Linked DNA regions of Ovis aries. The protein of the gene in region 2 purifies or fractionates together with the protein of the main gene of each other region. This does not show direct contact. Links are inferred from orthologs where the notes say so. Each region holds a gene or a part of one and is shown on either strand. Other genes may lie near its edges.

Region 1 (4,234 bases), on a different chromosome or scaffold from region 2:
ACCAGCTGTCTCTTGTGTCTGTCAACAAGACCCGTCTGCACGCGTCAGCTCTCCCCGAGGACCCGGCCTTCCTGAGAGTTGCCCTCTCCCTTCCACAGCCCACCCAAGCCCCTGATAAAATGATGGAGGCACCCGGTTCTAAGCATCCAAAAGGGACAGCGTTTATTTGTTGGGGCAGCTGAGGAGGAAGCTACGCTAGAGGACGGGAAGGTGCTCCGTGCTGGCTGTGACCGAGGGGTTCGGTGGAAGCTGCAGGCAGCCATCTTCTGATCCTGAGGTAGAGGCCTGGGATGAAGCAGACACTGCAGAGTGCAGAGGGGAGGTAGGAAGAAACTGGGTATTTGGGGAAATCATTTATCTGCTGCCAATACCCCTGGACTTCTCAGTTTCGCAAACCAATACCTTCTCTTTATTGCTTAAACCTATGTCCTGTAATGGTTAAATCAACGATGGGGAAACCAAAAGCAGTTCAACTAATAGAGTTCCTTTCAGGTCAAAGTCTCACATGCACCTCTAGTGTGACTGAGAAGGTCAATATAAAATTTCCTGACTACAAAGAAATGAGAGCGTAGGGAAGTCTATCACATGAACCTTGTGGCAGTGCATGCCCAGCTCCTGGGTGGAGCCATGGACTTCCACCTGCTCTTCAAAGCCTTTGGCCCTCGAGCCACTGTCTGTCCTCCCCACCTGGGGACCCAGCACTTACCCTATGAGGCTCAGGCCGGAGAGTGGCCCAGGTGCCCTCCTCTGAGGAGCAGGTGCCTAGACGATCTCTACGACCCACCCCCCAGCTTCTGCCCCCACCCAGGTTCCCTCTCAGACAGTGAGTGGTGTGCACAGTGGGAGGCCCTGTCCACATGTGGCAGAGGATGGGCAAAGGGTACAGGGGCCTGCTCGAGTCACCTCGAGACCATCACCTGTCATCTCTAAAGGTCATGGACCGCTTGTGTCTGGGAGGAGAAAAGAAGGGGGTGCCCAGAGAAAATCTGTGACACTAAGGGCCAGGACATTCCGTCTCTGGGCCACGCTTGGCCATCACTCAGAATTTGGCCTCAGTTTGTATCTGGGACACAGGAGTAGGATGCCTACAGACTCCTGACCCCAGGCTTTGGAGCTAAAGAAAACTAAGAGAGTCTCAAGAACAGCCCTCACTGAGCAGAGTTGAAGGCTGGGGACCAACGTGGCACCTACGTGTCACTCCCCAGAGTCGGGTGACATCCTAGACTCCCCAGCCCGCCTTCCGTTTGAGTGCATACTGGTTGCAGTCACTAAGGGGGCCCAAGGCTGGCCATCACCTGACCTCTTGCCAATGCCGGACCTGTCAAGGATGAGGTGACAGAACTGGGCATCAGGGGCTAGCTGCTTCCCCTTCCAGGCCTGGAAAAGGTATTGCTCGAGGGTTTCTCCTCAGTGGGCTAAACCTGGAATGTCCATGGCCACCCCTCAGAACCCGTCTGAACGACCCTTTTCTCCTTCTCACCCTGAAGTACTTCTGGAAGCTGGCTGGACTCAGAATCTGGCTCCTTGCCTTCTCCGCTAGGAGCCTCGGCTGTCTCACCTTTTGTGCAACATGTGGGAGCCAACCTGGGTCAAGAGCTTTGAGTGGGGCCTGGCACCTAACATGAGCCAGATACAGGTACCCGAGTACCCGCCAGGCAGTATTATGAGCCAAGTTGCAATACAAGAAGACATTTAATGCTACATGCAGCTTGTGGCCTGGCCAGGCTCCTCCCCACACTCCGAGAATCCTACTTGGAGAACCCCTTCTCCATAGCTTCAGTCGCTTCGGGGTGCAGGAAGCGGCCAGCCAAACGTTCAATGTCATCCAGCGTCAGGCGGCTCAGGGACCGCTCATAATCCTGAAGAGAGAAAGCCAGAAGGATTCAGGGGTGTGGCTTGGGGCGGGGGGGCCCGCTGGGACAGAGGCAGGTGGGCAGGATGCAGAGGTCCTGGGCCACGCTTCTCACCCTCTGGAGTTGATCCAGGACTCTGCTGGCATCGGCGGCGCTGAAGTGCTGGGCCAGGATTCTGGAAATGAGCGGCCAGGCGGCGGGCGGTGGGGCTGGGGCCTCGGCCGTTTTCCGCGCAGTGCTTTCTTCCAGCAACACCTTCTCCAGAGGTTTGACCACTAGGTTGAGCTTGGAATTCGGCCCGATGCTGTAATCGGAGAGTCTTTTCCCATCTGTCCGAAAGAGAGAGGGAGAGGGAGAGAGGGAGAGAGGGAGAGAGGGAGAGAGGGAGAGAGGGAGAGAGGGAGAGAGGGAGAGAGGGAGAGAGGGAGAGAGGGAGAGAGGGAGAGAGGGAGAGAGGGTCGCACTGACCCTCGGAGAGCCTAGGCGAAGCGCAGCGGTGAACTCCCGGGATGGGGGTGGGGGTCACCTAGCCAGAGCCCCCTCCACCTACACTGCTGCCCGGGCCTGGGCTGGACGCCCCGTCCCCTGGCTTCCCGCGGGTCTCCCCCAGCGTCCCCTCTTCCTGGTTACCTGCCAGGGCCTTGCCCTTGAACAGCAGCCGCTGTTGGCGGACGGGGATGTTCAGCTTTTCGGAGACCAGATGTTTCAGCGTGGACACCAGCTCGTCCTCCGACACCTGTCCCGGCCGAGAAAGGTGGGCGGGGGGTGAAGCCGCGGCCCGCGCGGAGGGTGGCTCTCCCGAGGCGGCTAGCCCGCCGGGTCCGTCCCTTCCCGCGGCTCGATCCCGCACCCGCGGGGCTGACCGCGCAACCCAGCCCGGCGATGCTACCTGAAGGCTGCACTCGCGGCCCTGGAGTGCCTTCACCGTCAGCTGCATGGCGGCCGCCGAGGCGTCCACTCGGGCCGGCGCGCACCCCAACGGTCCGCCGCCGCGCGCCGCCGCCCCGGGCGCGCGCCGGAACCGCCCGCCGCCGCCGGAAGCATCGCGAGGGGCGAGCCGGGCATCGCGGCCCCGCCCCGCCGGCCCCTCCCCCCACAACCTGGACTGTCCTCCGCGGAGCCCGGGGCGACGGAGCCCAGAAGCCCGCGGAGAGTGGAAAAGGGTGGCGGGACCAGTCGGGCTCGCTCGAAGGAGTTGGGGAGCTGGGCCCGGGGAGACGGCGGGCCGGGAGTTCGCGCGCCACCGCCCGTGGGCAGAGCAGGTCAACGCTGATGCCCATCCCATCCCCTGCCTCTCAGGAGCCTGCAGAAGACCCGGCCCCGCCGAGCTCGTTTCACCACCCGCCGGCCTCTTTTTTACTTCACCTGTGGAAAAGCAACTGAGCTTGGGATCTGGTGGGGGAGTCAGGCCTCTGCCCTTCCCACTGCTTCTTCTAGAACAGATACACAGCTCTCAGAGGTGATGCAGGGGCGAGGAAGGCTAAATCTGGCCAGAGGTCACTGTGTCGCCAAGCCAGCCCTCCATCCTGGCCCACACCTACCTGGCCACACCACGCCCTTCCTTCCCCGACCCGCAGGCCTCAGAGGGCAAAGACAGCATGATACCCAAGCTTGCTTCTGTTTTATTGAAATATATTTTCTGGGCAGTGCCCGCTTACAGAACTCAGCATGGCCTCTTTGGCACTGAAAGCTGGAGAATAAAAAACGAGTAAAAAAAATAAGCCTGGATTTTTTTTTTTTTCTGAGTGCATAGTGCATGAGAACTAAAGGCCTTTGGTACACAAGAATGGTGGGGACAGTTGATGGAGGTTGGGGGCTGGGGGTGCCTGGTGAAAGCTTGACCCGGGGGCCTCAGGGAACGGTGCACACGCTGCTATAGATAAAGTGGCCAATTACTAAGGCCAGCATCTCCGAGGTGCCACTAAGTGCCACAAGGAAAGGGGCCTGGGAGGCATAGTCAGCCTGGAGGCGGCGGAGGGACAGCTGCAGCATGGCCAAGGCCAGAAGGCTGTTCTGCACCCCAACCTCGATGCTGACAGTCCGCCGCTGGGCCACTGGCAGATTCAGGCATGTGGCCAGGCCGTAGCCCACCAGGAGGCCGACCAGGGGCACTGTGAAGCCCACCAACACGATGGGCAGCCTGACGCCTGCCAGGATGAAGACCCCCATGCGGTAGGCCAGGAAGAGGCCACCCAGGAGCAGCACAAAGCTGAAGGGCTTGATGACATGCAGCAGCAGCTGCGAGAACTTGGGGAGCTTGGACTTGATTACCACGCCTGCTGCAATGGGGATGGCAATGAACAGCAGGGTCCCCAGGATCTTGGAAACAGGCACATGGAGTGTTTCATGGATGCTGAGCAGGCGACTGTAGATGGCTGAGG
Region 2 (4,170 bases):
TAGAGAGTTAGAAAAAACCTTTGGTGGGTCCTCATGCCTACATATTAAGCTTTAAACCACTGAACATTGCTCTGAAAAGGTTCCAAAATCTGGCTCTAATTTACCTTTCCAGTCTTATTTTCAACTTCCAATTCTCCAAATCCATCACAACAAACACATTCCACATTATTTCACAGTCATATCTCAGCTCTGAACATGTTTCTGCCCACCTCCAATCATTTCATTTGTTCTTCAAAGTGGCAAAGAAGAGTGGAAGGAGTCCTTTAAGTTCAGACCAGACCCACTAGATTTCTAATTCCATCCCCACTGCTTAATAGCTTAATTATCTGGAGAAAATACTTCAAAAGACCCATTTCCTTACCTAGGAGGCATATCACCTGTGGCACCTTTACAAGGCTATTGTGAGAATTAAGCATAATCATTATAAACTGTTTAGCACCATGCCTGAGGCACAGTAGAAACTTAATGGTAACTACTAAGCCATCTTCTTTACCCCTCCCACCTTCATCAATACTATTATTCCCTAAATTTCCTTTGTTTATACCACTATGTTTATTACACTTATGAGCAATAATATACTGAAAAATATCCATTATTTACGTATATATCTGGTTTCTCCAATAGCTTATAGGCAAGATGGCTATGGGTATGGATTTCTAAATCTCTGTCACTTACTACTTCAGCAAATTACCTGGCCTCACAGAACCTGTTTCTTCGTTAATACACTGAATCGGGGTTAACACCTTACAGTGTTATGAAAAGGTTTAAAAGAGCTGATGTACATCAAATACCTGGTATAATGCTTGACACCTAGTAAATTTCGGAGTGTTAATGGTAATCCGGATGGTGAATCTAATCCAAGCAATTGCTTAGAGAACACACAAATGTAAAATGTACTTGCCTTATTAAATAAAGCAATCTTAATACAATTCTAACTTGCTACTCACCTCTCTTATTGATAGAAATATCCAGTGAAGACAAAAACAGAGGTTCCCATGCACTTTATCTCAGAAATGCTACCCCATATTCATGTTCTTCCAAGACCAGACTTAGTACTTCACGACTTATGGTTCACATCACCTCATTAGACTTTAAAACCATATGGGGGCTTATCCCTCAAGAGTTGTAAGGAATAAAATGATCTGCCAAAGTTAAAGAAAACTCTGAAATTAGTGGTCTACCAGGAAGCGGAAGCTAGTTGTCCGCTCTTTATTCATTCTAATTCTAATCTGCTGTGTCATCCATTTCTCTACTCAGAACTCCAATCAAATGTCAACTACTTCTATGACAGTATTTTCCAATCTATATGCTTCCAACCCACTGCTTGATTTAAGAGAAAACACTTCAAAATTAACTGCAGTGAAATCAAGGAAACCACAGAAGAGCTAGAACTTACAAAAAGGAAAAAAAAAAGTATTAGTGCACTGGCATTCCACTTTCAGCTGTATACTGCTACTCCCACGTGTTGCATAGCATCACCTCAAGAACGCAGGAAATGCTGAGGAAATGCAAGGAACCCGGCTTTAAATCTGACACCATAACCTACTAGTTGTGTAAACCAGGCCTGTTACTTCTTAAGCCTCATATCCCTCATCTTTATAGAGACTGTAACTATTATGAATCTCATAGGGCCATTGTATTAAATACAATTGTTGTATTAAACAATTAAATTCTTGTATAAAATACATGAGTGTGCCAAATGTTTTAGCAAAGTACTTACAACACCACACTCAATAAATGGTGTTCTAACCATCTGGTGTTATTGCCTGAGCACTACAGTTCTTGGTAAATACCGTGGAATTAATGAATACTTAGCACAGTTTATATTAGGAAATAAGTGTACCACTAACTTTAATTCTACCCTAAGTTAAATAAGGATTAACAGTTGCAATACTGTTTGAAAGAAGTTTACTGTTTATGAAGCCCTTTTAAACATCCATAAACTCACTGTGATCTCCACAACGTCCTTAGGGGGTAAACACTTAAGATATGTACCACAGAAATAAACTGGTACCCACTAGGGTAACACAGAGCCAAGGTAACCTAAGTTTCCTCCAACCGGATTCTCCAGCTCTGGGATAAGGTGTTTAGTGTCAAAAGTTTTTAACCTACACATCCACTAAAACGAGGCAGACTGCAGCAAGTGTACCATCCATCCTCCTCAAGCAGAGCCAAGCGCGTGAGTCCAAGAATCAGCTCCAGGAAATAAACCCCTTCAGAAGGCACAGATGACATTTACAACGCGGCATTGTTTCAATACGAGGTGTCCTCCCACACCTTTAGGGTGGGGGCCATTTCTGCCCCCACCCTACCAAAGCGCCCAACACACGACCTGGCACCTAAAAAGCCATCAATAAATGTTTGTAGAAATGGTATGGGAAGTTGCTGAAAGGCTCTAACAGAGACCCGAAACGAGGCCAACTCCACGGTGGGGATTAAGCATCTCAGCGGATCCACAGTCGTGGGCGGAGAGGGTCCAACCGGTAACCTGGCTGGAAAGGATGGCTGAGGACGGGCACTGCTAAAGGAGAACTTGGAGAGCTGACCCTCTGATGAGAGCGAGAGCAGGTCTGGCCGCAGCCATTCCTGGAAGGCCGGGGACAGAGGTTCGGAGGCCGGGGGCACCTAGCAGGGCAGTTGGCGGCTGGGGGGGAGGGGGACCTTCTGCTGGTCTGAGAAGAATCTCGGGCCCAATCTGAGCAGGGTTCTGGGCTCCTCTAGGGACCCACTCCCTAGCCCGCGGCAACATTCGCTGCACCGAGTGCTCGCTGCTACCTGAAACTGCAGCAGCTTCTCTGTCTGCTCCTGGGTTAGATCCCGCTCCTCAGGCGCCGCCATTTTGCCGCCGCCTCTACGCTTCTGACCCGTCCGCACCGTCACCCGCCGGAAGTGACCTCAGCAGCAACCACATCCGGTCTGAACGGCCGCCGGCGCTCAACTGCGTCTGCGCGTGCCGGCCCAACCCAGGGGCTGGGGAGGGGTGGAAATGGTGATAATTTCCGCCGCCAGAGGGCGCCTTCTCTCGTGCCGACCCCGAATACTTCCGAAAATAGTCGAGGAACTGTGTGGACAAGTCGCCTTTTGGAGTCAGGCGAAGGCAGGATAGATCCTTGAAAGAAAAGTTATGACCAACCTAGACAGCATATTAAAAAGCAGAGACATTACTTTGCCAACAAATGTCCGTCTAGTAAAGCTACGGTCTTTGCAGTAGTCGTGGGAGTGAGAGTAAGGAAAGTTGAGCGCCGAAGAATTGATGCCTTTGAACTGTGGTGTTGGAGAAGACTCTTGAGAGTCCCTTGGACTGCAAGGAGAGATCAGTCCTGAATATTCACTGGAAGGATTGATGCTGAAACTGAAACTCTTAATACTTTGGCCACCTGATACAAAGAACTGACTCATTGGAAAAGACCCAGATGCTGGGAAAGATTGAAGGCAGGAGAAGAAAGGGAAGAGAGAGGATGAGATGGTTGGATGGCATCAGCGACTCAATGGACATGAGTTTGAGTAAACTCTGAGAGTTGGTGATGGACAGGGAGGCCTGGCATGCTGCAGTCAATGAGGTAGCAAAGAGTCAGACACGACTGACTGAGTGACTGAACTGAGATGAACTGAATAAGTCAGGATCTTCCAGACTTACGACCCTTGAATAGACCGCAGAGCCAAGAGGTTCCGAATGCTTTGGTTACTCCCGAATGTCACTAGACAGATTTTGCCTGCTCTTTAAGCATTTTCATCTCCAGTGTTTCAGAATATTTCTTAAGAAATTGTGGCCATTCCGAAATATCAGTCATTTGATGTTTGATTCCTGCCATGATGTTTCCAAAAGCCCCTGACCATCTCTAGGAGGTTCCGAAAGCCCCCGAATACTGAGCCAGGGGCGGGAGGCATTTCCCCTCGCCGGCTTCGAACCAGAAGCTGGAAGATTAGGGGCTCATGAAAATTGTTGGGACTTGGCCACCTGGGCTCTGCCAGACGTAGGCATAGCTCTCTGTCCACTCCTCTTGGGACTCTGCCCCTGCCTGCCGGAGGCCTTCTCGGGTCTCTGTCCTCTGCCCCGTCTTCTCTGTGAGCAACCGAAGGAAGATCCTATGAGTGGGATTAGAGGACCTGGATTCAGGTTCCAGTGTCCACGTGGCAAAGTACCGGACATCCTTGAGCAAACTTCCTGCT

The links. Proteins that work in one complex are often made in the same cells at the same time.
Region 1: the proteins of FAF2 (region 2) and UBL4A purify together in Homo sapiens (affinity purification with mass spectrometry; 3 studies listed by BioGRID and IntAct, with this or other methods). This does not show direct contact. The link is inferred for Ovis aries from reciprocal best matches to the Homo sapiens genes FAF2 and UBL4A.

Annotation. Positions count from the first base shown.
Region 1 is NC_056080.1:79,953,700-79,957,933, reverse strand, and holds UBL4A (ubiquitin-like protein 4A), read right to left. Parts: upstream 2,834-4,234; 5' UTR 2,791-2,833; coding exon 2,743-2,790; intron 2,590-2,742; coding exon 2,484-2,589; intron 2,183-2,483; coding exon 1,968-2,182; intron 1,860-1,967; coding exon 1,753-1,859; coding exon of another isoform or gene 1,749-1,752; exon of another isoform or gene 1,319-1,748; coding exon 1,195-1,318; 3' UTR 1,192-1,194; exon of another isoform or gene 303-1,191; coding exon of another isoform or gene 191-302; 3' UTR 137-190; downstream 1-136. Other genes in the region: SLC10A3 (P3 protein), read right to left, coding at 3,705-4,234. UniProt on the Homo sapiens protein: As part of a cytosolic protein quality control complex, the BAG6/BAT3 complex, maintains misfolded and hydrophobic patches-containing proteins in a soluble state and participates in their proper delivery to the endoplasmic reticulum or alternatively can promote their sorting to the proteasome where they undergo degradation.
Region 2 is NC_056058.1:35,638,386-35,642,555, reverse strand, and holds the start of FAF2 (FAS-associated factor 2), read right to left. Parts: upstream 2,862-4,170; 5' UTR 2,839-2,861; coding exon 2,776-2,838; intron 1-2,775. UniProt on the Homo sapiens protein: Plays an important role in endoplasmic reticulum-associated degradation (ERAD) that mediates ubiquitin-dependent degradation of misfolded endoplasmic reticulum proteins.